2 linked regions of the Oryctolagus cuniculus genome follow. The protein of the gene in region 1 interacts with the protein of each later gene in a biochemical or structural test. Links are inferred from orthologs where the notes say so. Each region holds a gene or a part of one and is shown on either strand. Other genes may lie near its edges.

The links.
Region 2: the proteins of EIF4G1 (region 1) and EIF4A1 form a complex in vitro, tested with the Homo sapiens proteins (3 studies listed by IntAct, with this or other methods). The link is inferred for Oryctolagus cuniculus from reciprocal best matches to the Homo sapiens genes EIF4G1 and EIF4A1.

What each region holds. Positions count from the first base shown.
Region 1 is NC_091435.1:93,892,428-93,907,838, forward strand, and holds part of EIF4G1 (eukaryotic translation initiation factor 4 gamma 1), read left to right. Parts: intron 1-190; coding exon 191-211; intron 212-778; coding exon 779-955; intron 956-1,174; coding exon 1,175-1,274; intron 1,275-2,315; coding exon 2,316-2,428; intron 2,429-3,239; coding exon 3,240-3,332; intron 3,333-3,534; coding exon 3,535-3,601; intron 3,602-3,888; coding exon 3,889-4,713; intron 4,714-4,968; coding exon 4,969-5,057; intron 5,058-5,146; coding exon 5,147-5,333; intron 5,334-5,426; coding exon 5,427-5,560; intron 5,561-5,682; coding exon 5,683-5,841; intron 5,842-5,961; coding exon of another isoform or gene 5,962-5,964; coding exon 5,965-6,150; intron 6,151-6,344; coding exon 6,345-6,542; intron 6,543-6,717; coding exon 6,718-6,864; intron 6,865-7,100; coding exon 7,101-7,337; intron 7,338-7,478; coding exon 7,479-7,583; intron 7,584-7,677; coding exon 7,678-7,837; intron 7,838-7,890; exon of another isoform or gene 7,891-7,966; intron 7,967-8,042; coding exon 8,043-8,143; intron 8,144-9,117; and 22 more.
Region 2 is NC_091448.1:52,140,366-52,155,608, forward strand, and holds EIF4A1 (eukaryotic initiation factor 4A-I), read left to right. Parts: upstream 1-673; 5' UTR 674-803; coding exon 804-826; intron 827-1,362; exon of another isoform or gene 1,363-1,510; intron 1,511-2,206; coding exon 2,207-2,255; intron 2,256-2,673; coding exon 2,674-2,806; intron 2,807-2,840; exon of another isoform or gene 2,841-2,972; intron 2,973-3,253; coding exon 3,254-3,393; intron 3,394-3,671; exon of another isoform or gene 3,672-3,816; intron 3,817-4,129; coding exon 4,130-4,298; intron 4,299-4,406; exon of another isoform or gene 4,407-4,553; intron 4,554-4,646; coding exon 4,647-4,756; intron 4,757-4,881; coding exon 4,882-5,025; intron 5,026-5,107; coding exon 5,108-5,245; intron 5,246-5,328; coding exon 5,329-5,418; intron 5,419-5,455; exon of another isoform or gene 5,456-5,599; intron 5,600-5,659; coding exon 5,660-5,739; intron 5,740-5,834; coding exon 5,835-5,979; 3' UTR 5,980-6,505; downstream 6,506-15,243. Other genes in the region: CD68 (macrosialin), read left to right, coding at 7,098-7,143, 7,240-7,679, 7,854-7,973, 8,071-8,149, 8,254-8,424, 8,706-8,842; MPDU1 (mannose-P-dolichol utilization defect 1 protein), read left to right, coding at 10,457-10,559, 12,421-12,486, 12,635-12,767, 12,970-13,055, 13,173-13,291, 13,436-13,546, 13,670-13,912; SOX15 (transcription factor SOX-15), read right to left, coding at 14,444-14,612, 15,144-15,243. UniProt on the Homo sapiens protein: ATP-dependent RNA helicase which is a subunit of the eIF4F complex involved in cap recognition and is required for mRNA binding to ribosome.

The sequences.
Region 1 (15,411 bases):
CCAGTCCCCTTTCTTGCCTTCTTTTTGGACTATGGCAAGATAAACACTCTGGCTGGTTTCTTGCCTTCTTCTGTTACCTGAGTTCTTCCTTACTAAGTGGGAGGATTCTTGTCCCACTACTTAGATTTTTTTTTAACCCCTCATCTCCTTGGGGATAATTCTCTTCTTTCCTGTCCCCATGTGCTCTCAGGGAGGATTCAGGTCTCTGCAGGTAATACCCCTTTCCTAATCCTGGACCGTGTCCTGGTCTCACTTTCCCCTCTGCCTTAGGGTCTACAAACAGGGAGTGGGGGGTCTTCAGGGTGGGGACTTTGTGCTGGTTGGGTCCTTAGTTTGAGGCTGAGTAGTGCATGTTAGGGGCTAAATCCTGAAGAGTGTATCTGGGAACTGGGAGACTTGCATGTTAGTAATGAGTTTCTCAGGACCTTAAGTGGAGCAGTGCATGCTGGGGAGGGAGGATGTCCCTGAAAGGGCCTTAGGCATGATGCATCTGGGTGTTAGGGAGCCCCTCCAGAGGGCCAGTGTGGTGGAGGTGACATATGTATGCATGGCAGTGAGAATCAATACACACAAACGCCAAATGTTCGTCTGAGTTTGGAGGCTGTGTGTGAGTATAAGAGGCCACTTAACCATCAGTTGGTCAAGTGTGTCTTGGAAGGATTGGTCTTTATGCTCTGAACCCCACAGTACTTTCCAGACCATAGAGGCATTGTGGAGGTACTAGTTTGCTGCCCGCTTTCTCTCTCTCAGTGCCAACCTCTTTCCTCCCTCCTGACAGCACTTCTACCCTAGCCGGGCCCAGCCCCCGAGCAGTGCAGCCTCCCGAGTGCAGAGTGCAGCCCCTGCCCGCCCTGGCCCAGCTGCCCATGTCTACCCTGCTGGATCCCAAGTAATGATGATCCCTTCCCAGATCTCATACCCAGCCTCCCAGGGGGCCTACTACATCCCTGGACAGGTGAGGCTGGAGGCTTGGGAGCCATGCACCTTGTGCTGTAACCCTCGCCCCTTCCTGCCCCAACCCTCTTGCCCTGTCTCTTCGTCAGAGATGGGACTTCTGGTCATTGCCCAGAGTTGGCTTGTCCTATCTTGCCCTGCATTCTGTTTGTAGTCTGGTATGGTACTCGTAGCTTCCTCAACTCCTTCTCTTCCCTCTTCTCCCCCCCTCCCCCACCAGGGGCGTTCCACATATGTTGTCCCGACACAGCAGTACCCTGTGCAGCCAGGAGCCCCAGGCTTCTATACGGGTGCAAGCCCTACAGAGTTTGGGACCTATGGTAAGCAAGAGAGGGAGTCAGAGGTGAGAGTGCTTCCCAGGGAACTTCAAAAGTGATCTACTGATTTCTAAAGCCTAAGACCCTTCTCAGGCATGGCTTTGGGGTTAAAAATAATAGGGTTAATAGTTAGTAGGGATTGGTGCTTAATGTTTAACTGGTGTTGGTGGGGGATAAAGACTTGATTTCTGTTGCCAAGGGAGTTGGAGTCCTGCCTGTGTCAGGAACGCAAGCCCAGGCTCCAGCTTGAGGGCCTGGTGGGCTTTCCCGCGACGCTGTTTCTATGGTGGTGGGGAGGTGGGGGGCATGTGACATGGATTTGTGGCTAGTTTTCGTTTGTATTCTAGGAAAGTACTAGTCTGTTCTTTATGGCAGTGGTTTCCAAAACTTTGATCATTGACTGTGTACTTTTAAAATGTATATATGTGTGTGTTTGTATATATGTGTGCATAAGTTAAACATATAACATGACACTTGGGAAATCAAGTGTAAATCATGTATGAGGTTAAAGAATGCTCCCACTTTGGAGACCATTGCTTTAAGGAATTACTTTTTCTTTCTCTTGGGCTTAGTTCATAATGTTACTTTTTGTTTCCTTGCCCCTCTGCAAAGGGCTGGATACTGGAAGGAGACTAAGGTTGAGTGGAACAGGCTTAGCACATCTTTTTCTCATTCCTAGCCAGAGACTGAGTTTCTTTCAGATTCAGAGTGGTATGTGTGTTGCTTTGGGGGGGGGGGGGTGTATGCACAGGAGTATCTTGGAGAGTAGAACAGACCTGCGCCCTCCTGCTAGCAAGCATGTGGTGGGGAAGGAGTGCCTTCTTACAAGGCGTGTGTGTGTCAGTGTCAGGAATTCTTGTAAACGCAGTGTAGACTGGTTCCCCAGCTTTGACAGACACCTAATTCCCTGGGGGAGGAGGGCGGGGCAGGGCAGTGGGCTGGCTGTGAGTGATGAGAGGTTCTGGGGGTGGGAGGTGTTCAAGCATTAGTATATGGTTGGGTCCTGACGCTGCCACCATTCTTCTTTCTGTCCCCTCCCCCAAGCTGGTGCCTACTACCCAGCCCAAGGTGTGCAGCAGTTTCCCGCTGGTGTGGCCCCTGCGCCGGTTTTGATGAACCAGCCACCCCAGATTGCTCCCAAGAGGGAGCGAAAAACGGTGAGTGGCAGGGGAGGGCTCTGGGGAGGGTCTGGGAAGGGGCGAGTGAAGCTCAGGCACTACTGGGGCATTGTGCTTGAGGGAGCAGGAGGTTGAGGAAGGAGGTCTTTGGCCGGGAATAGGCAGACTTGGGTAGGGTGGGGAGTGGTTTCTGTGGAACACTTGGGGCCTCTTTTTTGCAACGCACCAGCTTTTGGCTTAGAAGCATCTCCTAGGGAGACCGACATGGCCGAGGGTGCAGTTCCTGGTGGTCCTGGGGTGCTGGATATTCTGGTGGCTTGCCTTGGAAGTGGTTTGTTTTCTGTGGCCCCACCCCCCACTCCCAGTCCTGGAAGCTCTTGAGGCCTCCGCCTCTGCTCAGTCCTCAGCCCTGGGCGTGGTGCCCAGAATAGGGTGCCAGGGCTGGGGAAGCCGCTGAGTCACCCTGGCTCCACCCACTGGATCTGGGCCTGCCCCCAGAGATCAGGCAGACTAGCTACAAGTGAGCTTGGATGGGTGCTTGATGGGGGTCCTGGGGCCCAGGGTGTGCAGGCACTAACTTGGGGATTGCCGGTGGGGCAGGGGTGAGAGAGGGAGGGGCATTGTGATGTACAGGCTGCTCTGTGAGGTCAAAGGTCTCTTGGGGGTGGGGGCTAGGGCAGGGACTACAAGAGCAGCTAGATGGGTTGACAGTAGAACTCATGGGGTTTCTGGCACCCACCCACCTGCTTCCAGTGGGGGGTGGAGGGTTGACCCAGAGTCTTAGGAGTGGGGCAGGGTGGAGAGGGGGCTCCTCCTGCTTCCCACTCATCCCATAGCTTTCTTTCCTCAGATCCGAATTCGAGATCCAAACCAAGGAGGGAAGGATATCACGGAGGAGATTATGTCAGGGGCCCGCACTGCCTCCACACCCACCCCTCCCCAGGTATTGTCTGCTCTTTGAGTAATACCTTGGCTGGAATGGCTGTGCTTCCCTGCACTCCTAAGTCCCTTCATCTTTTCCTCAACTAAGGGGTTGATTGCCTGCTCTCCTGGCCTTCTTGGCAGAGCTAGAGTAGAAATTGTTCTAGTAGAGAAGGGTTGTGGAAGTCTTCAGTGCAAATTTGGTAACCCTTTGTGTCCTGCAGACTGGAGGTGGTGTGGAGCCTCAGGCTAACGGGGAGACGCCCCAGGTTGCTGTCATCGTCCGGCCAGGTAAGTAGGCAGGGTGAGGCGGAGCTTTCCTGGGGAAATGGAATGTGACAGTTTAGAGTGCCGAGGTGGTGGGGGTGACTCGAGCTGGGTGCTAGATGGTGACTTAGGTTTCCAGGCAGTGGGATTGTCAGGGTCAGTTGTGTTTTAGATGAGAATGGGAAAGTAGCGTGGGTGGGGGAAGATTGGGATAAGGGTGTTAAGTGAGGAATACTTTGGCTGAGAGGAGGAATAGTAGTAGCACTGAAGGATTTACCTTTGGTTACTAATTTTTCCTTCCTGTGGTGTAGATGACCGGTCACAAGGAGCAATCATCGGGGGCCGGCCAGGGCTGCCTGGCCCAGAGCACAGCCCTTCAGAATCCCAGCCTTCATCACCTTCTCCGACTCCATCACCACCCCCGATCTTGGAACCGGGGTCTGAGCCTAATCTTGCGGTCCTCTCTCTTCCTGGGGACACTATGACATCGGGGATGATACAGATGCCCGTGGAAGAACCAGCCCCCATCTCCCGTGAAGCTGGAGAGCCATATTGCCTCTCTCCAGAGCCCACTCCTCTTGCTGAACCCATACTGGAAGTTGAAGTGACACTCAGCAAACCAGTTCCAGTGTCTGAGTTCTCTTCCAGTCCTATCCAGGTTCTCACCCCACTGGCATCTCACAAGATGGAAATTCATGAGCCTAATGGCGTGGTCCCATCTGAGGATCTGGAACCAGAGGTGGAGTCAAGCCCAGAGCTTGCTCCTCCCCCTCCTCCAGCTTGCCCCTCTGAATCCCCTGTGCCTATTGCTCCAACCACCCAACCCGAAGAACTGCTCAATGGAGCCCCCTCGCCACCAGCTGTGGACTTAAGCCCAGTCTGTGAGCCCGAGGACCAGGCCAAGGAGGATACAGCGTCTGCGACTCCCCCTGCCGTTCCCTCTGCCACTCCAGCTACAGCTCCCCCAGCTACTTCCCCTGCTCAGGAGGAAGAAGGGGAGGAAGAGGAAGAAGAGGAAGAGGGAGAAGCAGGAGAAGCTGAGAGTGAGAAGGGAGGAGAGGACCTACATCCCACAGAGAGCACCCCTGTCCCTGCCCACTTACCCCAGAATGTGGAGGCAGTAGCAGCCACCCAAGGTAAAGTGGATGGTGGAGGCGGGGCTGGCCTGGGGGCGTGGTTGCTCCTCTTGGCTGATCATCTGCCTTGTGTGCCATTGTGTCTGGTCATAGACGCCTATGATGGAACCTAAGAGCTCCAGGAAGGACTTTGTAAAGCCTGGACATAGTGATGGAAGGAGGAAATCATGTACTGGGCTGCTTTTTATTTTACCCTGGGGTTAACAGTATTCCTTAAAAATCATTCCCACCCCTCCTTTTCTTTTTTTCAATTAGTGGCAGTATCTGTGCCAAAGAGGAGACGGAAAATTAAGGAGCTCAACAAAAAGGAGGCTGTGGGAGACCTTCTAGATGCTTTCAAAGAGGTAAGGAAGCAGAAGGTCGGAGAGCGAGCACAGTCTGGGTATGAAACTGGTCATTCTGTGATCCAAACTGGGCTGTGCCCTTGTTCCAGGTGAACCCGGCAGTGCCAGAGGTGGAGAATCAGCCTCCTGCAGGCAACAATCCAACACCAGAGTCAGAGGGCAGCAGTGGGCCCTCCCGGCCTGAGGAAGCAGATGAGACCTGGGACGCAAAGGAAGACAAAATTCACAATGCTGAGAACATCCAGCCTGGGGAACAGAAGTATGAGTACAAGTCAGGTAGGCTGGAGGGGGAGGGTTGAAAAGGGCTGCAGGTGCTTACCAGCGCATCAGGAGACAAGCATATCAGTGGTTCATCCTCTCTTCTTGCAGATCAGTGGAGGCCTCTAAACCTTGAGGAGAAAAAGCGTTACGACCGTGAGTTCCTGCTTGGCTTTCAGTTCATCTTTGCCAGTATGCAGAAGCCGGAGGGGTTGCCCCATATCAGTGATGTGGTGTTGGACAAGGTTGGTGCGTTGAGGGGGAGGAGGGCAAGTGTGGGTTGGATGGAGTGGGGAGGCGCCTGAGATCCTCAGAAGTAATCAGAAGCCTTAGCCAGCTCGTGAGGCCTTCCGTCTTCTCTTCACAGGCCAATAAGACGCCACTACGGCCGCTGGATCCCTCCAGACTATCAGGCATAAATTGCGGCCCAGACTTCACCCCATCTTTTGCCAACCTTGGCCGACCAGCCCTGAGCAGCCGCGGGCCCCCAAGGGGTGGGCCAGGTGGGGAGCTGCCCCGAGGGCCGGTGAGTGGGGGCTGGCTGAAGACACAGGTGGGCAAGGGGGCAGGATGGGGACACGTCAGCGTTGGTGTCACATGTGCTGAGCAGTTGTGTGTTTTTCCCTTGTCTTCCTCCCTTGCTTAGCAGGCTGGCCTGGGTCCCCGGCGCTCTCAGCCAGGCCCCCGAAAGGAGCCCCGCAAGATCATTGCCTCAGTGATAATGACTGAAGATATAAAACTGAACAAAGCAGAGAAGGCCTGGAAACCCAGCAGCAAGCGGACGGCGGCTGATAAGGATCGAGGGGAAGAGGATGCTGATGGCAGCAAAACCCAGGTACTGGCAAGTCCTGCGTCTGGTCTCCATTCCTGCTCCACAGAGTACCGTCTGAGCTGACTTTGACCTCTGTGGCTGTCTGAACTTATCACTAGCATCTGCCAAAGTCCCTGCCCGCCTCTTCCTCTCAGCTACCCTACCCCTATTCTGAGGACCTCTCTGGACCCTTTGTGTTTGTCCCCTCTCCCCGCCAGGACCTGTTCCGCAGGGTGCGCTCCATCTTGAATAAGCTGACACCCCAGATGTTCCAGCAGCTGATGAAGCAGGTGACGCAGCTGGCCATCGACACCGAGGAGCGCCTCAAAGGGGTCATTGACCTCATCTTTGAGAAGGCCATTTCAGAACCCAACTTCTCAGTGGCCTATGCCAACATGTGCCGCTGCCTCATGGCGGTTAGTTACCAGTTTTCTCAGTTTCATGGTCCAGCTTCCCAGCTTTTTGGTTCTCCAGCCTGTGCTTTGGATGGCAGCTTGGGGGTGGGGGCGGCAAAGCTGAGGTCAGAGGTCTTCTTGGGGGAATCTCCTTGCCCTGGGCTAGTCTGAGTGTGACGTTCTCTTTGACATACAGCTGAAAGTGCCCACTACAGAAAAGCCAACAGTGACTGTGAACTTCCGGAAACTGTTGTTGAATCGGTGTCAGAAGGAATTTGAGAAGGACAAGGATGATGATGAGGTTTTTGAAAAAAAGCAAAAGGAGATGGATGAAGCTGCTACGGTAAGAAAAAGCCCACCTGAAGTTTGTAGCCCACTCACTGCCTTCCCTTCCCCCAGCTGCTCCTCGGCTGTAGAACTGTGATGAGGCTAAGTCAGGTGGGGACAGTGGTGTGTTGGGAGTTTCTCTGCCTCAGGACATCATGCTTACTGCTAGATGGATATTGAGATAGCAGAGGAGAAAAGTTTTAGTTGAGTAACTGGGCATCTTTGACGCGATCCCTGTCCCATGACTGACAGGCAGAGGAGCGGGGACGCCTGAAGGAAGAGCTGGAAGAGGCTCGGGACATAGCCCGGCGGCGCTCCTTAGGAAATATCAAGTTTATTGGCGAGTTGTTCAAGCTGAAGATGTTAACAGAGGCAATAATGCACGACTGTGTGGTCAAACTACTTAAGAACCATGATGAAGAGTCTCTGGAATGCCTATGCCGTCTGCTCACTACCATTGGCAAAGACCTGGATTTTGAAAAAGCCAAGGTAAGGATTCTGGGCTGTGGGCAGGGTGGGGCTGAAGCCCACTGTTGCCTTGTTTGGCTGGTGAGTCTGGGCTGCTGAGGGCTGGTAACTAGATGTGAGATGCTGAAAGTTCCTGAGCTGATTGCTTTTGCTTCTTCCTAGCCCCGAATGGATCAGTATTTCAACCAGATGGAAAAAATCATTAAAGAAAAGAAGACTTCATCCCGAATCCGCTTTATGCTGCAGGACGTACTAGATCTCCGACAGGTGTGTGTCCCCTCCTCCACTTCCCGACGCTGCCTTGTCTGGCCCCTTCACCTCCCTCCCCCCGATGATTGCGACTGGCTTCCTGTCCCTGCAGAGCAATTGGGTGCCACGGCGAGGGGATCAGGGTCCCAAGACCATTGACCAGATCCACAAGGAGGCTGAAATGGAGGAGCATAGGGAACACATCAAAGTGCAGCAGCTCATGGCCAAGGGCAGTGACAAGCGTCGGGGTGGCCCTCCCGGCCCACCCATCAGTGAGTTTGAGGCTGGGGTTGAGGAGGGGGCAGTGAAGGAACCAAATCGTGCTTTCCGTTGATGACTTTCTGATAGTGCCACGTGTCTGGGCCACTGAGTCCTCATGATGGAACTGAGGATCTGAGGAAGAGAAGTTGGGGATTCCTGAGGGGGTGGGGCTGTTGGAATTTACTTGTGATTCCAGTATGCCCCTCTTTGTCCCAGGCCGTGGCCTTCCACTTGTGGACGATGGTGGCTGGAATACAGTCCCCATCAGCAAAGGCAGCCGTCCCATTGACACCTCACGACTCACCAAGATCACGAAGGTAGGGATGTGTGCTGGATGGGTGATGCAAGTGAGCCAGAGTATGAAGAGGGATTGAGCAGGTGTTCAGCTTGGGTTTGGATCTTGGTCCCCTTTTTTTTTTTTTTTTTTTTTTGACAGGCAGAGTGGACAGTGAGAGAGAGACAGAGAGAGAAAGGTCTTCCTTTTGCCGTTGGTTCACCCTCCAATGGCCGCCGCTGCAGCCGGCGCACCGTGCTGATCGATGGCAGGAGCCAGGATCCAGGTGCTTTTCCTGGTCTCCCATGGGGTGCAGGGCCCAAGCACCTGGGCCATCCTCCACTGCACTCCCTGGCCATAGCAGAGAGCTGGCCTGGAAGAGGGGCAACCGGGACAGAATCCGGTGCCCCGACCGGGACTAGAACCCGGTGTGCCGGCGCCGCAAGGTGGAGGATTAGCCTATTGAGCCACGGCGCCGGCTCTTGGTCCCCTTTTTTAAAGTTAGGAAGGTGACAATGTAGTCTTCCTTTTAAAATAACTGGTTAGAATGCTGGAGCCAGGACTGTGAGCTCTGGGAGATGTATTCCCATTGGTCTGGCCAGGCGCCAGCAAAGTGACAAGCATGCCAGATCTAGCTTATTGCCTGCTTCTGTGCATCCCGTGAGCTGAGAATGGTTTTTATGTTTTAAATGGTGGAGGAAAATCAGAAGATGGCGTGATAATGTGAAAGTAACGTAAATCTTAAAATTTTACTGTCTGTAGACAGTGTATTGGAATGTAGTTGCATTCATTCCTTTAAGTGTCATCTGTAGCTACAAGCATGCTACAGTGGCAGAATTGGGTGGTTGCAGTAGAGACTTGGAAGCCTAAATCTTTACTGGCTGGCCTTTTCACAGAAAAGGTTTGCCTAATCACTGGTCTGGGCCATTTACTACCTGTGTGACCGTGTGTGGTAGTGCTGATCAGAGGCTTTGGCCAGGCCAGACCCATGGCTCTCTGCTCCCTTTCTTTCCTCAGCCTGGCTCTATCGATTCTAACAACCAGCTCTTTGCACCTGGAGGGCGCCTGAGCTGGGGCAAAGGCAGCAGCGGAGGCTCAGGAGCCAAGCCCTCAGACGCAGGTATGGAGGCCGCCGTGTGGAACTGGGTGGTTGCAGTCTGTGCTCCCTTGAAGGCAGAGCCTTGCCTAGAGTTTCAGGATCATCCAGAAGATGATGTATGTGGTTCCAAAGATGGCTCCTTTATCCTGGCCCTGGGACCACGTGTCCTAAATGACAAGTAGGGGAGATAAAGGAAGAAACGGGAAGAGAGCTTAATTAGGGTTTTCGGTCTCCCTAGCATCGGAAGTTTCTCGTCCAGCTACCAGTACCTTGAATCGCTTTTCAGCCCTTCAACAAGCAGTACCCACAGAAAGCACGGATAACAGACGAGTGGTACAGAGGTGAGATTTCGTACGTGTCATCTTCACACAGAGTGTGGCAGCTGGGTTTCACTTGTTGCTGTAGGATGGGAACTTCTACTTGCAGTACCTGGGTCCCCTGGCTGAGATTGAGGCATATTCCTGATGCCACGAATGCATGTTGTCAGCGAATGCCTGGGCAATACGCGTGAGGAATGGCTTGCCTGTCTTTCTTCCAGGAGTAGCTTGAGTCGGGAACGAGGTGAGAAAGCTGGGGACCGAGGAGACCGCCTAGAGCGGAGTGAACGGGGAGGTGACCGAGGGGACCGGCTGGACCGCGCACGGACACCGGCCACCAAGCGGAGCTTCAGCAAGGAAGTGGAGGAACGGAGTCGAGAACGGCCCTCCCAGCCCGAGGGACTGCGCAAGGCAGCTAGCCTCACAGAGGATCGGGACCGAGGGCGGGATGCGGGTGAGAGGCCGGGAGAGGAGTGGTGGGGGAGGCTGTTGGCTGGTTTGGGACAACCTGGCCTGCAAATCTCTTGAGAGCTCCAGACTGTGTGTTAGAGAGCCTGAAAGTGAAGAGTATCTTTGATCTGTGTTTTCTTGCTACAGCAAAGCGGGAAGCCGCCCTGCCCCCTGTGAGCTCGCCGAAGGCTGCACTCTCTGAAGAGGAGCTGGAGAAGAAATCCAAGGCCATCATTGAGGAATACCTCCATCTCAACGACATGAAGGTAGGCAGTACGGGGTGGGGAGAGGTCTGAGGGGTTGCCGATTGAGCGGGTAGCCACGTTAGGCATGGAGGTGCCGCCTACTGACCAGACCGTGACCTTGTTCTCTCCCATGCCCTGTGCTCCTCAGGAGGCGGTGCAGTGTGTCCAGGAACTGGCCTCACCCTCTCTACTCTTCATCTTTGTGCGACATGGCATTGAGTCCACACTGGAGCGCAGTGCCATTGCTCGTGAGCGTATGGGGCAGCTGCTGCACCAGCTACTCTGTGCTGGCCACCTCTCCACTGCTCAGTACTACCAAGGGTATGGCTGATTTCCATGGCCCTCCTCCATTCACATACCTACAAATTTCCTGTCTCCTATGTGGGATCCGACGAACCCTGTATCGGAGTGGAAGCTCCCCAGCATCTTGGTGAACAGTAATTTAGGAGTGGTAAGGGGCAATGAGCCATCTAAGACAAGAAGGTGGTCTTAGCTTGAGGTAGTTGCCCCTGTCTAAAAAGTGTTCTTGGGGCTCTGCATTTGGTTCTTGCTATATTTTTCCTGGCTTGTCTCCCTGGAATGATGACTTGGAATTACCTTTGCAGGCTGTATGAGATCCTAGAATTGGCTGAGGACATGGAAATTGACATACCCCATGTGTGGCTCTACCTAGCGGAACTAGTAACACCCATTATGCAGGAAGGTGGTGTGCCCATGGGGGAGCTGTTCAGGTAAGCCCCCTCTTGGAATTGGGGGGAGGTAGAAACTGGTAGAAAGGGGTTGGGTGATGGAACAGCTGGGGATGTCTGGATGTGGAAGCTGGCAACGTTGGGCTTTTCTCTTTTCCTAGGGAGATTACAAAGCATTTGAGACCTTTGGGCAAAGCTGCTTCCCTGTTGCTGGAGATCCTGCGACTCCTGTGCAAAAGCATGGTGAGTGAGGCCTTTCGGAGGCTGTGTTCAGAACGCCTCAGATGTGGTTTGGCTGCTTGTGGTGGTCCTGAAGCATCCATGTTCCTTTGGGATGGAGTAATGGTGACAGCAGGACCATGCTCATAGCTGAAAGAGGAAATGTTGGGTGGGCAGTGACCTCAGACACTTGCTGCCATGAGTTCTGGCCAAAGCTGGAGAAAGAGTGGCAGTGTAGAACATAGGCCTGCGACCGACTCATTGATTGTTCTCACGCACTCAGTTAGCATTTCTTTGAATATTTACCATGTACTTAACATTGGGATACAGCAGGGGCTAGGAAACAAGTTGGTAAAGAAAATAAGAAATGGTAGCCTAGGAGTGGGGTAGCCATTTGGCCTAGTGGTTAAAAATGCTTATGTCCCATCCTGAGTGTCTGGACTTGATTCCCAGCTCTCCCGGTTCCAGTTTGTTGCTAATGCAGACCCCAAGTGGTACTGGTGATGGCTCAGTTAATTCGGTTTATGCCATCCACTTGGGAAACATGGGTTGTGGTCCCAGCTCTTGATTGGCCTCTATCTGGCTCCAGCTGTTAGGGGCATTTGGGGAGTGAACCAGTGGATGGGAGCATTCTCTATTTTTCAAGTAAATTTTGTTTTAAAACACCAGTGTGAAGTAAGTTGAAACGGAATGTCTCAAGTACTGTGAGGTTGCTCACCAGCATTTGCAGTGTTCATGCAAGAAGGCTTTCTTTGAAGGGCACTGAAGTTGCTTTATGAAAGTTGATTGGTGAGTGTAAAGGTGGCAAGATGGGGAAAGGCTGTTTGGGTGTGGTTGTGAGAAACTGGAACATGCAGTTTCAAAACAATATACCTCTCTGGTACCTGCAGGAAAGAGACTGGGTTAAAAGGACTTATTCTCTCAGTGTCAGATGGTCCTTTTAGGTAGGTAAACATACGTACCAGGACAGTTTCTGTTCATAAAATAAGCATATTATACTCTTTCTGTACCTACGGTCCTTAATTTATGAGGGTTTCAATTTAGGATTTTTCAGCTTTGTGATAGGTTTTTCAAGGTATCGAGTGCATTTTCAGTTTAGGGTATTTTTGACTTAGAATGTTCTTTTTTTTTTTTTTTTTTTTTTTAGAATGTACTTATTTGAAAGGCAGAGTTACAAGAGGCAGGGAGAGAGAAAGAGGTCTTCCATCCAATGGTTCACTCCCCAGATGGCCACAGTGGCCGGAGCTGGGACGATCTGAAGCCAGGAGCTTCCTCTGGGTCTCCTACGCAGGTGCAGGGTTCCAAGTACTTGGGCCATCTTCTGCTGCTTTCTCAGGCCATAGCAGAGAGCTGGATTGGAAGTGGAGCAGCCGGGACTCAAACCGGCACCCATATGGGAGGCACTGCAGGCAGTGGCTTTACCTGCTACGCCACAGCGCTGACCCCAGGTTGGTTGCTTTGTTTTGAAACGTAGCCCCATTGTAAGTCAAGAAGCATATGTCATTGATCTAAGGTGCTGTGGATTGGAAGATTTCTTACTGATGCATTGCTAAGAAAAAAGACTCATGGTCTTATTTTTAAAATGTAGTAGTGTATCAGCTGTGATGTGTCTTACTTACAGTGTTTAAAATATGAAGAAATCATTTAAAATAGAATCATGAAATTTTGTTTTAAATATTTTACTTAATTATTTTGGAGGTAGAGTTAGAGACAGTGAGAGGGAGAGACAGAGAGAAAGGTTTTCCTTTTGTTGGTTCACTCCCCAAATGGCCAATACGTCCGGAGCTGCGCCAATCCGAAACCAGGAGCCAGGTGCTTCTTCCCGGTCTCCCATGTGGGTGCAGGGGCCCAAGCACTTGGGCTATCTTATACTGCTTTACCAGGCCACAGAAAAGAGCTAGATTGGAAGAGAAGCAGCTGGGACTAGAATGGGCGCCCATATGGGATGCTGCCGCAACAGGCGGAGGATTAACCTACTGTGCCACAGCGTCGGCCCCATGAAATTAACAGCTAATATCATCACTCTGCGTATTTTTTGTTATAAAAGTGATACCGGCCGGCGCTGCGGCTCACTAGGCTAATCCTCCGCCTAGCGGCGCCGGCGCACCGGGTTCTAGTCCCGGTCGGGGCGCCGGATTCTGTCCCAGTTGCCCCTCTTCCAGGCCAGCCCTCTGCTGTGGCCAGGGAGTGCAGTGGAGGATGGCCCAGGTGCTTGGGCCCTGCACCCCATGGGAGACCAGGAGAAGCACCTGGCTCCTGCCATTGGATCAGCGCGGTGCGCCGGCCGCAGCGCCCATTGGAGGGTGAACCAACGGCAAAAGGAAGACCTTTCTCTCTGTCTCTCTCTCTCACTGTCCACTCTGCCTGTCAAAAAAAAAAAAAAAAAAAGTGATACCTGTGGGGTCTCTTGCTCCTTAAAGAAAATGGGCTCAGGCTGCTATTTAAGATTTACTTATTTATTTTAAAGAGTTACACACACACGTGCGCGCACATGGAGAGAGAGGGAGGGAAGGAAGGAGGAAGGGAAGGATCTCTTCATCTGCTGGTTCACTCCCCAAAAAGCCACAATAGCCAGGCTAAAGCCGGGAGCCCGTACCTCCATCCTGGTTTCTCACGTGGCTGGCAGAGTCCCAGGTACTTGGACCATCATTCACTGCTTTTCTAGCCTCATTTGTAGGGAACTGGAAGGGAAGCTGAGTGGCCAGGACTTGAACCAGTGCTCTGGGATGGGATGCTGTCATTGCAAGCACGGCTTAACCCACGAGTGCCACAGGGCCAGCCCTGCATTACTGTTTTTGTGGGAATTTCTGGTTTGTGTTGTGGGGGTGAGGGTGTATCTGCTTTTGAGACTTTCTGGTGACGTTGGAAGACTAGGAGGGAGGAGGGTATTTGCATTTGCTTGTTCACGGTTTTGAGGGCCTTTCCCTCATCCTACTGGCAGTACTGTGGTAGACGAGTTCCTGTTTATCTGTGTGGGTATCTGATGTCTGCCCTGCACTGGACTTCAGGGCGTGGAAGGGTTGTGTCTATGGGGTACCTCTGCCGTCCTTAGCTTCCAGCAGGTACCTAGTGGGCTTTCAGTGAGTACCTGCTGGATGATTGTTGTGGAGCTGTTTGGTCCTTGGAGAGACGGGGTGGCTGAACTGGTCTTGTATTTTTCCAGGGCCCCAAAAAAGTGGGCATATTGTGGCGTGAGGCTGGGCTCAGCTGGAAAGAATTTCTGCCTGAAGGCCAGGATGTCGGTGCATTCATCACTGAACAGGTTTGGGGCTGGAGTTAGGTTAATTTTAGCTTCTGGGCCTGGCCAGTCTTCTCCCTCTGCCTTCATCTCTCAGGTGGCACAGGGGACCTGTTGACTGGGTCTTTTTGATTGCAGAAGGTGGAGTATACCCTGGGAGAGGAGTCCGAAGCCCCTGGCCAGAGGGCACTGTCCTCTGAGGAGCTGAGCAGGCAGCTGGAGAAGCTGCTGAAGGAGGGCAGCAGTAACCAGCGAGTGTTCGACTGGATAGAGGTGTGAGGTGGGGGGATGAGCGGGAGGGTTTTCTTAGAGTGAAGTTTGGGGGTGCAGGAGTGGACCTTGGGCCTGATTTTCAACCTGTGGACCATGTGTCTCTTGTGCAGGCCAACCTGAGTGAGCAGCAGATAGCATCCAACACATTAGTTCGAGCCCTCATGACGGCTGTCTGCTATTCGGCAATTATCTGTAAGAGGAGCCAGGGAGGTGGTGGGAGCAGGGTGAGGGGTTCAGCCTTTGCCTCCTAGGTCTGAAACAGCTTATGAACTATTATTTCACTTGCCCCTGTCTTCTTTCCTGCAGTTGAGACTCCCCTCCGCGTGGATGTCGCAGTGCTGAAAGCGCGAGCGAAACTGCTACAGAAATACCTGTGTGATGAGCAGAAGGAGCTGCAAGCACTCTATGCCCTCCAGGCCCTTGTAGTGACCTTAGAACAGCCCGCCAGTAAGAGCCAGGCCTCGGGGATGGGGGTGGGCTGGAGGGACCACTGGAGAGCAGAGAGTAGTCAGGGAAGGGTCTCAGTCCGCGAAAGGCTGATAGTGCCCTGATGGTTTGGTGCCTTCTCCCTAACTTTATTTCTCTGTCTACAAATGGAGGAAGTTGGACTTAGCCTTGAAGGTTAATGGACTGACTGCTTTGTGCTTAGTATCTGTTAGATAGCAGCAGTAAAGGTGAGAACATGATAGCATCTGTCAGGGGCTGCCATGTGCCATGGCTGTCTGGCACAGGGCCGGAGGCTCAGCTTGCCTGCCTCATTTAGTTGTCACCATGGTTGTTT
Region 2 (15,243 bases), on another chromosome or scaffold:
GCCTTCGAGCCAGTGCGTGAGCTTCTCGTTTTTTTGCATCTTGAGGTTTCAGGGGCTCAGTCACCCAGATGGGCCTGCCAGGGCGAGCACAGAAAGCGGGAGCACAGGGAACGCTCAAAGACAAAAGATCCTGCGAGAACCTGAGGCGCAAGGCACTGAAAGGGCCTGGGGAGGGTTTGGGTCTGGATTCAGGACAGCTGCCCCAAGTGCCCAGAAGTAGGTTCATCCCTCCAGCCCTAGGAGTCCTCCCCGCCCCAGGATGTGTCGCTCTTTATTCCATCATCCCTGGCGCACAGAACACAGGCCGGGCGGTGTCTAACCTGTCTTTGCTGCAGGGCAGAACACAACTAAAATTTGGGTCCAGTGGAAACCTGGAGCAGAAGGAAAGGGAAGTGGTAGTCTCGGGAGCCCGGAAGTCCCTGGAGGCTAAGACCTCGCCCCCCTTGCGTGATAGGGTCTATGAAGCCACATGACTAAGGCGCTATCGCCTCTGCACGTGTAAGGGTGCAGGGCCCAAGATGGCTGCCAGGCCTCGAGGCCTGACTGCTGTATGTCACTTCCGTACCGGCGAGAAAGGCGGGCCCCCTAGCCAATGAGGCCGCGGGGCGGGCCCTCGCCTTGATAGGCGTTCAAGCTATCCAATGGCGGCTGCGAGCCAGAGCGCCTACGAGCTAACGTCACGCCGAGTTGCCGAGCGCCGCCAGGCGGGGCTGAGGCGGCCAAGCCAATGCGATGGCTGGGGCGGGGTCGGGCGCTCTATAAGTTGTCGATAGGCGGGCCCTCCGCCCTAGTTTCTAAGGATCATGTCTGCGAGTCAGGATTCCCGGTAAGAAAGGCATTTGCAAGAGGTTGTGGCTACTCACCCTGCCGCTCCCTTCCGAGGGCCCCGTCGGGGAGGGGCTGAGAGCGCCACCAGGGTTGCGGGGGAAACCGAGCCGGGAGGAAACGTCCGGCGGTGGGGGGAGGCGGGCCGGGGGCAGATGAGCGGCCGAGCTGCCGCCAGAGCCGAGGCAGAGGGCGAGAACAGCCCGCGTAGGGCCCGGAGTGCGAGCTTCGTTACGAGGCCTCGACCCGAGGCAGTGGCGTACGTGAAGCCCCAGCGCTGAGTGACAAGGCGAGGTCGCGACCCAGCGAGGAAGAAGGGCCGCGGCGGCCGCCACTACGTGGCCATAGCCGGCGGTCCGGTTGCCCCCCTGTGCCGGGGGGAGGGCCCGCGCGTTGGGGTTCGGGAGGATTCTGGCGGTACCACTCGCGAGAGGCGGGGGTGCCTGGGTCCTCAGGTCCAGTCGCTTCGTCGGGTTGAAATACGGGTCGGGGAAGAAGAAGCCGGCCGTTCAGTGTGCTGGTTTTCTTGACGGCCAGGACTGAGCCTAACCCCGAGGAGCGGCCGCGTGAGGCACCAGGAGCCCACCCGGCGCCGGGCGGGCGGGTCCATTTTGCCGCACAAGCCGGGCATTTGGCAAACTGCGGATGGGCAGGTCCACTTTCCTTCGGGGGTGAGCGGCCTGAGGTATGGGAGGGCGACGCCATTTCGCGACGGGGGCGGGCGGGATGTGGATTGTTCCATGGAGGGGGGAGACGCCGCCGGGTGGTCGAGGGAGCAAGCACATGGCGGCCTGAGGTGTTCCCCTCCCCCAGTCCGCTTCGCTTCTAAGTGTTGTGCAATCTCCCCCTGTGCTAGCTCGGCTGGGGCTCATTGTGCGCGAGGCCGCCACCGCCCGCGGCCTCCCACATCCGGGCACCGCGAGGGGGGGCTCGGCTGGAGGGAGAAGGGGAGGGCGCGGGCGGAATGACGTGGGGGGGAAGGGGATGGCCTGCCCTCCGATGTGGGAGGTGAAGGGCGGGACTTCCGGCGCGCTGGTGCCGCGAGGGGCGGTGCACGCGCTTCGGCTTTGAGCCGCGGGGCCTTGGGACACGTGGGCCGGCGGCAAGCACCGCATCCGGCCCCATGAGCCTTTATGCTTCGAGGGAGGTTTCCCCTACCGTGTGGGAGGGGGGGGCCTGCCCTGATCCGCTCACAGGACGGGGCAGAGGCCCTGACTCAGTTTTAAAGTAACTTGAGAGTGTCTTGACCACTGGTGGGAGTTAGATTGGGGCTGAGTGCTGATGGCATCATGCTTGGCCGGCTGCTGATAGAGCCTGACTGTCAGGATGTCTGGCGTGGTTCAGGCAGGCAGGGCACAAAATCCATTCTTTGAATCAACAGATCCAGAGACAATGGCCCCGATGGAATGGAGCCCGAAGGTGTCATCGAGGTGAGACTGGAACCTGCCACCACTGCCCTCCACCTCTGAGAGGCCGCTCTCTCTGTCCCCTGGTTCCTGGAGTAGAAGAGACTTGGGTCTTGGGTCACCAGAATTCAGTGCGAATCCCGAGGACATAGTGTAACCCCGATAGTACAGCTCTGCCCCAAAGGAGTCTTGACCATGGTTTGTAGTGAATCGATTAGTATTCCTGAGGCTAGGTGTGAAACGTGCCATTCATGCCCCTCCAACCTCACAGCTAAAGTGGACTGGCCCCTTAGAGTGACTTCCCAGCCTACCTGGAACCAGCGGCCTCCCTCCAAGGTGTCAGGGTTGTGGGCTCCAAAGCGCTGGCCCAGGCACCAGTTGGTGTTTGCTGAAGCACAGCCTGTACTCACTGATAAAGCTTCTGTTTCCTTGCCTCCTACAGAGTAACTGGAATGAGATCGTTGACAGCTTTGACGACATGAACCTCTCTGAATCCCTCCTTCGTGGCATCTATGCCTATGGTTTTGAGAAGCCCTCTGCCATCCAGCAGCGTGCCATTCTTCCTTGTATCAAGGGTGAGACCTTTTGGCCCCAGAACGGATCTGGCACTGTCCCTGACTGGGGTAGAATGGCTTTGGGTTAGTGGTGCCCATCTATCAGCCAGGGACAAAGCAAACCCTTGTTTATCCCAGCTTGGCTTTTGGTCTGTGCCCATGCCTGGGTCATGCCTGGGACACACGGACTGCTGGCTTGCCTTTAATGAGGTACTGTTGTACACAGTTCTCACAGCCCTGTTTTCTGGCTTAGTGCAATGCTAGAGTTGGTAGCCTGATCGTTCTCTGGATTTGCCCCCGTTATGTCACCATACTGTGGTGGGGAAGGTTTGTAAGGCACTTAAGGCGTCATTCATGATTGGTTGCTTGTTGATCTCAGCTCATTGAGTTAGGCGTAAGTCAGGATTTGACTGTCCCATGAGCCCAAAGTGCAAGTTCTCCGCCAGATCTCATTTCTTGTCTGTCTAGGTTATGATGTGATCGCTCAAGCCCAATCTGGGACTGGGAAGACGGCCACATTCGCCATATCGATTCTCCAGCAGATTGAATTGGATCTGAAGGCCACCCAGGCCTTGGTACTAGCACCCACTCGGGAATTGGCCCAACAGGTGAGAACGTGGCTTCTTTCTCCTGGAGGAATAATGAGCATAGCCTAAAATCCCGGGGGGTTACTTCCAAGGAGGAAGAGGATGCTCGGGGGGTGGGGTGGGGTGGGGTGGGGTGGGGTGGGATGGGGCGGTGATTTTTAGCTGGGTTAATTATATGTCATTTCCTACCCAAACGTAACAGCTGCCACTTCTCCACCCATTTCCTGAGTCAAATGACAACACTGCTGGGCCGGGCCTGACTGGCTAGGCAAGTTGGGTGACTGTTTATGCACACCCCCCACCCCTGGCAATGGGCAAAGAGACACCTCGTTCGTGGTGCTGCTCTTATATCAGTCAGGGGCAGAGCAGATGCGCAGTCCTTTGTTCATCCTAGCTTGATGCCTGTACTGGTGGCCAGAGCTGTTTCATGCCTAGGGCACAAACCCTGATGGTAGAAGTGATTATTCTGATGGGAACCGGGCGCAGATACTGTAACCAAGAAGTGATAGTAAGCCTGTTAAGACTGAACGGGTCGTGTGGCTTGTGTTTGGGGGCAAGGGTGTAGTTGGCCGTGTGTGTGTCATGTGGCTCTTTAAACTGGCTATGAAGCGGGTAAATAAATAGACCACAGTTTTCAGAAGCTGAGGGTTCAGTTACATGTATCATGGTTGTTGGGAAGACCAAATCCGTGGAAAAGTGAGATGGGACCTGCCACGGTTGTAGCTAACAGCTGCACACCCACCTCTCTCTGGTTCAGATACAAAAGGTGGTCATGGCATTAGGAGATTACATGGGTGCGTCCTGTCACGCCTGCATCGGGGGCACCAATGTGCGTGCTGAGGTGCAGAAGCTGCAGATGGAAGCTCCGCACATCATCGTGGGCACCCCTGGCCGCGTGTTCGACATGCTTAACCGGAGATACCTGTGTGAGTAGCTCAATTTTCCACTGCCCTGTATCCCCCTCACCTTAGCCAAGCCCTCCTTGTCGGCCAGCTTCGTTCCCAAGGCCGCTCGTTCTCCCTCCCCTGAAAGCTGCTCTGTGATGAACCCCATGCGTGTCAGCTGAGCCCTGGCTTCCCTGTCCTCTCAGCCCAAGCCCAGGGAGTGTTCTACTTCCTGGGGCTGTTGATTGGCCTCCAGGGCAGCCCTGGGCAAAGGATCAATCTCTGTATTCTGAGAGCAGACTGCCTCTGTCTCCCCTGTTCTTCAAGAAAGTTGGATATATTGCCTGTTTCCCAAGCTACTACATAGTAGTATTTCTTCCATGCCTACAGCTCCCAAGTACATCAAGATGTTTGTACTGGACGAAGCTGATGAAATGTTAAGCCGTGGATTCAAGGACCAGATCTATGACATCTTCCAGAAGCTCAACAGCAACACCCAGGTGAGAAAGGCAGTGCTGGAGGAGCTGCCGGGAGAGCCCTCGCGTCTCGCACCTTCTGTGGGACTGGGGACGGGGCGGGCGTCCTGCAGCATCGCCTACCCTGAGGCTGGTCTGTGTTTCACCAGGTGGTTTTGTTGTCAGCTACAATGCCTTCCGATGTGCTCGAGGTGACCAAGAAGTTCATGAGGGACCCCATCCGGATTCTTGTCAAGAAGGAGGAGCTGACGCTGGAGGGTATCCGCCAGTTCTACATCAACGTGGAACGCGAGGTGGGGCCTGGGTGCAGGAGGCGGGCCCGGGTGGGGACCTGTTGAGTATAGCCCCTGACTGACTATTCGCCCCAACCTCCAGGAGTGGAAGCTGGACACACTATGTGACTTGTACGAAACCCTGACCATAACCCAGGCTGTCATCTTCATCAACACTCGAAGGAAGGTCGATTGGCTCACTGAGAAGATGCACGCCCGGGACTTCACCGTCTCTGCCATGGTGAGCATCCTCGCACGCCAGCCTGTGTGAGCCCAGCTCCCCTGTGCTCGTCTCGATCGCTAACCTTCGGTTTTCTCCCCTAGCACGGAGATATGGACCAAAAGGAGCGAGATGTGATCATGAGGGAGTTCCGCTCTGGCTCTAGCCGAGTACTGATTACCACTGACCTGCTGGTGAGTAGGGGGATTTCCAGCGCTGGAAGGCAGAAGAATCCAAGGTGATTCCCTCTCCCAGGGGCCCGACTAGTGCCTCTCTCAGGAAAGTAGCAACTTGGAAGAAAATCCGGCATGCCCAAGGGCTCTCAGAGACAAGGGGCCGCTTGCTTCCTTTGCCTGCCTTGGGCTGCCTACATGCACTCACTGAGCCCCTTCCGGATGGACTGTGTGCACTGAATTCTTCTCTGTCTCCACATAGGCCAGAGGCATTGATGTACAGCAAGTTTCTTTAGTCATCAACTATGACCTTCCCACCAACAGGGAAAACTATATTCACAGGTGAGTGTGGGTCTGGACCTCCTGCCTAGCCCCCTGCATCCTGGGCGGAAGCTTTGGACATCCCTCAATGCTTGCAATGTATCCTTGTGTTTCAGAATTGGCCGTGGTGGACGCTTTGGCCGTAAGGGTGTGGCTATTAACATGGTGACAGAAGAAGATAAGCGGACTCTCCGAGACATCGAGACCTTCTACAACACCTCCATTGAGGAGATGCCCCTCAATGTTGCTGACCTCATCTGAGAGGGGCTGTCCTGCCACCTAGCCCCAGCTGGGGTTCAGTCCTCAGGGGCTGAGGAGCAGCAGGAGGGGGGAGGGGAGGGAGCCAAGGGATGGACATCTTGTCATTTTTTTCTTTTTTTTTTTCTTTGAATAAATGTCACTTTTTGAGGCAAAAGAAGGAACCGTGACCATTTTAGAAACCCTTTTCTTTGGGGTAGGCTCTTGCCCCAGGCGCCGTCTCCTCCCAAAAAAACAAAAAAAAAAACACTAATCCATTTCCCTAACCTAGTCACCTCCAGGTCCCAGAGGCTCTCCCACCCCAGCTGAATCCCTCCGAACTTGATTCAGGGGCCAAAAACAAGTCACTCAACCTCATGTGCCGGACCAAACATGCAAGGAGCAGCCCCTAGTGAGGTTGCCCAGTGATTGAACCCAGCTGGGGGAGCAGGGGAGAGAAAGTGGTAGCCATTTTTACATTGTTTTGTATAGTATTTATTGATTCAGGAAGCAAACACGAAATTCTGAATAAAATGACTTGGAAACTGCCTGTTGGGCTTCTCATTTCTTCCTTCCCTCCTACCTGCTACTGGGTATGTCAGCTACCTTAACTACCTAGAAGTTACCAGAAGAAGCCATTTTCTAGGTCCAGAAAGTTGTAATAGGATAATAGGAGCTACTGAGGGCTTGGGTGTGTGCTGTCATAAGTGGTCACATGTCTCGCTAGGAGGAAGTCATGAAGCATGGTGTGTGGAAAGGGGCTGGCCAGAGGAGGGGCCTGCTGGCTATAGGGGCTGGTTAGAACCACTGGCCCTAACTGCCTAGTGAGGTTTGCTAAGGGTGACAAACGGGCCCCACCAATCAACTGCCTCACGGCTCCATCATTCTGTAGTCATGGGACAGCCTTGACTTTGGCCTTGACACCTCCCACTCGTGAGCTGGGGCCAATAGTCCCCTAACAAATGACTAGTGACTAAGAGATTGGTGGCTGGAGCCCGTGGTGCTTGAGTCAGCCTGGGGGTGGGATCATCTGTTGCAGGAAGTAAGAGACTTTCATTTCCTTTCCCAAGAGAGGGAAGAGGGAAGAGGGCTGAGCAACTGGTGTCCAGTTGAGAGTCGGCATTAGGTGAGGTGGATCTGCCATGAGGCTGCCTGTGCTTTTCCTGGCCTTGCTGGGGCTACACGCAGGTAAGAAGGGGGTAAGAAGGGGGCACGGAGGGGGAACTTGAGGAAGCCAGCCCTTTCTGGGTCGCTGACCAGCTTCTTTGTTCCCTCTGCTGAAAGCCCAGGGGACATGGCCTTGGCCTCACAAGAAGGCAGCCACTCTGCTGCCATCCTTCACGGTGACACCTACAGCCACAGAAAGCACAGCGAGCTCTGGAACAACCAGCCACAGGACTACCAAGAACCCCCACACCACCAGTCACAGCACTGCCACCCCAGGCACCACCAGCCACAGACCTACAACTGCCACTCCTACCACTGGCCACGGAAATGTCACGGTTCATCCCACGACCAGCAACACCACCACCACCACCGGGACCAGCCCTGGATTCTCCACCAGCACCCCCCACCCAGGACCACCTCCACCCCCTCCAAGTCCTAGCCCAGGCTCCAGAGAAGCGGTTGGGAACTACACGTGGACTAACGGCTCGCAGCCCTGCGTCCAACTCCAAGCCCAGATTCAGATCCGAGTTCTGTACCCAACCCAGGGCGGCGGACAGGTAAAGCTGAAATGGGAGGCGGGCGGACAAGGGGAAGGTAGCCCGTCCTGCCTTGATTCAAGGGGAAGAGGAAGAGGAGAGAGGACAAAAACAGGCTGGGGATGGAGAAAACAGGGAACCTCGAGGAGCAAAGTCATGTAGTCTCATGACCCCCGCGTTATTTAACTTCCACAGGCATGGGGCATGTCTGTGCTGAACCCCAACAGAACCAAGGCCCAGGGGGGCTGTGAGGGTCCCCGTCCCCACCTGCTCCTCTCCTTCCCCTATGGACAGCTCAGCTTTGGATTCAAGCAGGTATGGCTTCACGACCTCGCCTTCCTCCTCCACTTGCCCTCGCTGCACCCCTTCCTTGGTAGGCATGGGAGGCCACACCTTCCTGTTCACCTTGCAGGACCCAGGGCAGGGCCAGAGCGCGGTCTACCTGAGCTACCTGGCTGTGGAGTACAACGTGTCCTTCCCCCAGGCAGCACGTGAGCAGCTCCTCCCCCTTCTCACCCTAGCACTGAGGGGGCAGAGCCGGGGCTGGGGCGGTGGGTAGCCACTGACCCCCGCCCCCCACCCCTCACCCCTTCAGGGTGGACATTCTCGGCCCAGAATGCGTCCCTTCGAGATCTCCAAGCACCGCTGGGGCAGAGCTTCAGCTGCAGAAACGCCAGCATCGCTGTTTCCCCAGCTCTCCACCTCGACCTGCTCTCGCTGAGGGTCCAGGCTGCTCAGCTGCCCCGCACCGGGATCTTCGGGCCGAGTAAGACCTACCTCCTGCTTGTCTCCGAAAATCTCCCGCTGCGCCCAGAGTCCCCTCCCTTCTTAATCCATTTGAAGCCCCGTGCATTTACTGCTCCATGTACGCCTGTACAGGTGTCCTATCTAGGACCAAGCTTCCTCCCTCCACTGCTCATCGAGGCTGTAGGGCAGCTGCCCTCGCGGGCCCACTTGGTGCTTTTCCTTAATGCTCTCCCAGCTCCTAGGAATTGGAGTCCCCTGCCCCCCTCGGGAGCCATGCTGACCGCCCTGTCTTTCTGCCAGGCTTCTCCTGCCCCGCGGACCACCCGTCCATCTTGGTGCCCCTCATCATCGGCCTGATCCTCGTCGGCCTCCTCGCTCTGGTGCTCGTGGCCTTCTGCATCGCCCGGAGACGCCCGTCGGCCTACCAGGCCCTCTGAACACCGGCCCGGCCCCCAGGGCACCAGCCCTGTGCCCCACCAGGCAACTGACTCGAGGGCAGGGAGGAACAAACACGGGGACTGTGCAGTCGGGAGGGAGGAGAGAGTTTTATTACACGCGACACCCCCAGCCCCCAGGAGAAGAGCAGTGAAAACTCGGATCTTCGTCCTGGGTTCCCCCTGTGCTGACAGGATTAAAAGCCATGAGTTTCTTGTCACATGCCTGTCTGTGCCAACCCCGGCTGAGTCACAGAGCCACACAGGGCTAAACGGCATCTGGGACCCAACGCCCTGCGCTCTCTGGCTCGCCCCCTGAAGGCCCGACACAGTCCATGCTGAATCGGCCAGGCCTCCCCTCCTTCCTCTTCTGGGTGCACTGGCTGGTCCAGGCCGCTGTCCCCACCCTCCACCCCCGCAGCCTCTGACCAGCCCCAGGTAGTTCCAGGCACGGCACTGAGGGCGGTGATGGAGTTTCATCTCCAGGCGGAGCACCAGGGGCTGCCCGCTGCGCCCAGGGCTGGCGGGAGAGCCCCATGAATCCGCTGTTAGACCTGGGAGGCTCGCGCTGCACCTGCCGCGGGCTGGCTGCATCCGCCGCAGCTCTGGGCACCTCCACGCACTTCCCCTCCACGTTCCTGGCTAAACGGATGTCCCTAGTCTGGGCCACCAGTACAGGGGGACGGGGAGGCGGGCAACAGTGTCACCTGCAGAGCAGCCGATGTCCGGCTAACAAACACCTGCCACTGGGCTCCCACCTGCGCCTGAGTGCCAGTCGTTCTCTCTTCAGTAGGCCGTGGCACGCCGTGGCCCCGCTGTTGGGGGCCTGGACAGGCGCCCCTGTTTCTGCAGGAACCCCACGAGCTGAAAGGCTGCAGCACGAGGCCGCACCGCGGGCCGGGCCGGGTCGGGGGGCCGTTCCCAGGTGGTGCTGTTGGGCCCACTCGGCACGTGGTGCGGGGCTGGAGCAGTCCCTGCACCCCACCTAGTGTCTCCGGGGCTACCCACCCCGACTTGTTGTCTTGCGTCGTCACCGGGCCACTGCAGTTCTGGCGCGCCCATCCTCCAAGGCCTCGGCCAAACAGGCGGCAGAAGCATGGGGCCTTGAGCGCAGCCAGCCCCGGGCCTAAGGAGACCTCCCAGAGGCCTGGTTCCCTCTAGAGAGGCCAAAAGAACGGAAGACACAGAGCTACAGCGCCCCCGCCCAACGCCATTTTGGAGACTCAAACACCCTCTCTCAACTTGGAACAATACGCGTGTAAAGTTGGCAAAGAGGAGACAAGATGGCGCCTAGCGGGAGGAGCGGAGAAAGGCAGGGGACTAAATGTTGCTTCCGAAGTGCGAGCGCAAACAAAAGCGCGAAAGATCTGACTGCGCAAGCGTGCACTTCTGACACGCTTTAAAAGCCAAACAGCCGGGCGCCTCCAAAGCGCGGTCTCCGGCCGTGACCTATTTCACGCTCCTGAAGCGAGGGTGGCGTAAGAAACGGCGAGGAACGAGGGGCGGTGCAACTTAGTCATCGCGAGAAAAGAAAGGAAGGCGGAGTGCTCGGAGCGCGCATGCGCACCATCAGTCAATGACGGCTTGAGAGAGACTGGCGGAAGCTCGCTTTCCAACATGGCGTCGGAGGCAGAAGGACTGCTCAAACGGCTACTGGTGCCGATTCTTTTACCTGAGAAATGCTACGACCGACTTTTCCTTCAGTGGGACTTGCTTCATGGTGAGTTTTATTCAGCATTCAGTAAAGTCCTGCTCGAGCGACTGTGGACGACGGTGGGGCGACTAGAGACGAGGTGACGGCGGCGGCTGCGGCGGCCAGGCTGCGCGGAGCGGAAGACGCTTCTGAGAGGGCGGAAGTGTCTCGGCCTCCGAAAAAAGGGGTCCCCATATTTGGGCAAGGGGAGGGGGGAGTAGCCCGGCCGACGTGCACTTTAGCAACAGTGAAAGTCCAAAAGGCTCAAATTTACAAAACAATACAAATCGGACCAAAGCATTCTAACGTCTGTAAGGTCGCCAGCAGAGCTAAGCTTAGTTGAAAGCCTTCCCAAAGGCCACTGACGCCCGAATTGCTCATTCGGCCTCCACGTTTGCTCGTGATCTAATTTTGGTAAAATTCCCCTCCCGTCCCGAGTAAGAGGCAGCTCCACAGCAGGGTTCCCTCAGGACTTTCACCCCTTGGCGATGCCGCCGCGGTCTTCCCTCCCCTGTGCGCACGGAACGCTTGGGTGCACCTGTCAGCCTGACGCCCTAGCTCTAGGGGAAGGCCTCAAGGCTGGAGAAGTTGTGGGTTGCCAAGGCCAAGGGGCAGGCACAGGTGCAGCAGGTTTGGGACGCCCGCATCCCATATCCGTGCCTGGGATTAAGTCCCGCCCCCGCTTCCAACCCCGCTTCCTGCTGTTGCGCAGCGTGGGAGGCAGCAGGTGCTGGCTCAAGTCCTTGGCCCCGCCACCCAAGTTGGCGACCCAGATTGAGTTTCAGGCACCTAATTAAAGCCTGGTCCAGCCCTGGTGGTTTGGTGAGTGGGACCAGCAGGTGGGAGGTCTCCTCTCCCTCCCTCCCTCCTTCCTTCACTGCCTTTCAGATAAAATATTTATTTATTTGAAAGAGTTACAGAGAGAGGTCTTTCATCCACTGGTTCACTCCCCAGATGGCCACAACGGCCAGAGCTGCACAGGAGCCAGGAGCTTCTTCCAGGTCTCCCACGCGGGTGCAGGGACCCAAGGATTTGGGCTGTGCTCTGCTGCTTTCCCAGGCCACAGCAGGGGGCTGGATGGGAAGTGGAGCAGCCGGGACTCCAACTGGCACCCATATAGGATGCCGGCACTGTAGGCTCTAACCCGCTGCACCGCCGCACTGGCCCCATAAATAAATTTTTTTTTTTTTTTTTTTTTTTGACAGGCAGAGTGGACAGTGAGAGAGACAGAGAGAAAGGTCTTCCTTTGCTGTTGGTTCACCCTCCAATGGCCGCCACGGCTGGCGCACCGCGCTGATCCGATGGCGGGAGCCAGGTGCTTCCTCCTGGTCTCCCATGGGGTGCAGGGCCCAAGCACTTGGGCCATCCTCCACTGCACTCCCGGGCCACAGCAGAGAGCTGGCCTGGAAGAGGGGCAACCGGGACAGAATCCAGCGCCCCGGCCGGGACTAGAACCCGGTGTGCCAGCGCCGCAAGGCGGAGGATTAGCCTAGTGAGCCAAATAAACATTGAGTTGAGTCTGGGCCAGGGACCTGGGCCAGTCAGAGTTGAGAAAGGAGCAACATGGAGACCTGCCCTTGGAGGGAAGATGTGCACACGGGGCCACCAGCAAGGGTCCCAGGGCACTCGGGCTCACTCAGCTTTGTGAAGGGAGACCAGGGAAAGCTTGGAAGTTAGGCCTAGTTTAGAGGCCACTCACTGACAGACACAAAGATCTCATTCACTCCCCAGGCGCCTGCATCAGCTGGGCCTGGCTGGGGCAACCTGAAGCTGGGAACCAGGGGCTCCGCCAGGTCTCCCACGTGGGTGGTGGGGACCCATCCGCTCAAGCCAGAAGCGGCCTCCCCTGCCACGTGACGCACCCTCCCGCTCACCTCTCTCTCCTCAGTGCCCTGCCTCAAGATTCTCCTCAGCAAGGGGCTGGGGCTGGGCATCGTGGCCGGCTCACTTCTAGGTAGGTGGGGTGTCGTCCCTCCGCTCCTGTCACTGGGCGGGTGGAGGGACTGAGAGGCTGGGCTGGCCAGCCCGGCGGGAAGCGGGCGCTGCACCCCCAGTGCTCCCGGCGCTGCTGTCCTCAGCCCTGCTCGTCTTCCCCCACCCAGTGAAGCTCCCCCAGGTGTTGAAACTCCTGGGGGCCAAGAGTGCCGAAGGCCTGAGCCTCCAGTCCGTGGTGCTGGACCTCGTGGCACTGACGGGCACCGTGGTCTACAGCATCACCAACAGCTTCCCATTCAGGTGAGGGCCCCAAGGGAACATGGCCCCCACTCTGCTGGGGGTCACGGGGAGGGAGGCAAAGGCGCAGGAGAGCTTAACCCTCTTAGAGGTGAGGACGGCTCGGGTGGGCGTGGAGGGCGGCGGCCCTGGAGGCACAGCTCTGGAGGCTTGCCCTGCCTCTTTCCAGGCCTGCCTTTTTTCCTCCCAACTCTTGACTCTGCAGCTCTTGGGGTGAAGCCCTGTTTCTGATGCTCCAGACGCTCACCATCTGCTTCCTGGTCATGCACTACAGAGGACACACTGCGAAAGGTGCTGGGGACTTAGCCAGGAGCGGCTGCAGCTCTTGGGAACCCTGATGGGACTCGGGCCGGGGGGAGTGGGACACATGGAGAGGTTGCGAGGCCTGCTTGTCTCCTTGACCCCTAGGCACGGCTTTCCTTGCCGGCTACGCCCTCATCCTGCTGGTGCTGCTCTCGCCGCTGACGCCCACAGCTGTGGTCACCCTGCTGCAGGCCTCCAACGTGCCCGCTGTGGTGGTGGGGAAGGTAGGTACTGGAACAACGGAGAGGATGGGGGGCAACATCAAGGGACAGAGTGCCCGTGCAGGAGCATCAGACTGAGGGGGGACCAGCGATGGGACACGGGAAAAGTTGAGATGCCAGAACCAAAGGTGACCGCTCCTGCCCTAGCTACTCCAGGCAGCCACCAACTACCGCAATGGGCACACAGGCCAGCTCTCGGCGGTCACCGTCTTCCTGCTCTTCGGGGGCTCCCTGACCCGGATCTTCACTTCCATTCAGGTGAGTGCACCTTTCCCCCTCTAGAGGGCGCTGTCTCCCAGCTGAGGGCTGCACCTGGTGCCCTCTCTGGAACCTTTGTCTCCAGGGGATTGGTTTTGGGGCTGCACTGCAGCCTGACCTTAGGTGCCTTTTACAACCAGGAAACTGGAGACTACCTCATGGCTGGCGTCTTTGTGGTCTCCTCTCTCTGCAATGGCCTCATCGCTGCGCAGGTCCTCTTCTACTGGAATGCACAGGCTCCCCAAGAGCAGAAGAAGGAGCGGTAGGGCCGAAACAGCCGCCGAGTGCTTGCGTGTTTCCATTCATCCACCCGGCCTCTGGGTGCTCCCGCCCAAGCCAGGCTGCTGGTGGGAGTTGCAGTTCTAATCTCTCCATTCCTTGGGCCAGGGTTTCGGTGGACGTGGAAATTGGGGGACCCAGATCCTTAGTAAGGATGGGGTCATCTTCCAAGCTGATCTTTGGACATTAAAATCAGTGACTTCCAGTTCTCCCTCCTCTGGGCCAGTGTCCTGCCCCGCCCTCTGCACTTCCCTGCTGGCTCCAGAGGACGAGCTGAGGGGAGGGACTTGGGGCTGCCTCTGCCCTGGACCCCAGTGCTGCGTGTGGGGGAAGGGGACAGAATGACTCAGGCAGGGTGGGGTGCAGTGGCTCCTGCTCCGGCAGGTCCAGAGGAAGGGAGTGGAGCTGGTGCAGGCTCCTGCTGGAGTGAGGAGGGCGCAGATGGGGCAATAAAGACAGACGTGGCTCGGTTGTACAAAATGAGTTTTATCCTGTGTGTTGTGAGCGGGCCGGCTGCAGGCAGCCTCTGAGCTGTGGTCCAACACTAGAGGGGGTGCAGCTTGTGCGTGGGGGTGGCTCTGAGGGAAAAGGGGAACACGAGGCCCGTGTCCGTGGGAGTTAGAGGTGTGCCAGGGGCATGGGGGCGCCTGCAAGTGGAGAGTTGTATGGATTGGGGGAGCCTGGGGGCAGGTAGGGGCTGTAGGAGGGAAGCAGCTCCGCCTGGAGTCTGGGGTCGCTCTGAGGGACGGAGCATGGCACGGGCGCCTCTGGTTTATAGTGGGAAGAGCTGCAAAGGGAAACGGGGAGGGGGGGTTAGAGGCTGCTTTCTGTGTTGGTGTCACCAGCTGAATGCTGGGATGGGTCAGACCAAATCTGGGCGGACAGGGGTACAACTTGCCCCCCACCCGGCGCGCTTGGAAGCACAGCCAGATGGCTTGGAGAGCAGTGCGGCCCTGTTGGGACACGCTGCAGCCCCGGCTTGCGTGCTGTGTGGCTGTTTCCCTCTTTCAGGGCAGCAGGCCAGGAAGGGGCATAATGTGCTTGGCCTCGCCTTACCCCGGGGGCTGGGAGAGGAAGCTGGGTCACACATGGGCCAGAAGCAGGGCGAAGTGAGGATCCCAGCAACTAGAAGAGTTTCACAGCTAGGGGTCCGTCTCTGCACCTGCGGGGCGGCCACTCTGGGAAAAGCTGAACCACTGTAACCCACCCCACCTTGCAGGGCCCCTGGGCCGGGCTCAGGTTCTCCTTCAGCCAGTTTCCACCCACCCGCTACCCAGGCTCCCGGCCCCACCCAAGCGTCTGCTTCCTCGGCACTCACCTGTAGTTGGCAGGCAGATAGGCTGTCGGGTAGTTGGGGGGCTGGTACCCGAAGCCTCTGCTGCCTTGGGTGGCCGCGTATCCTGGCCCCCAGAGCAGGC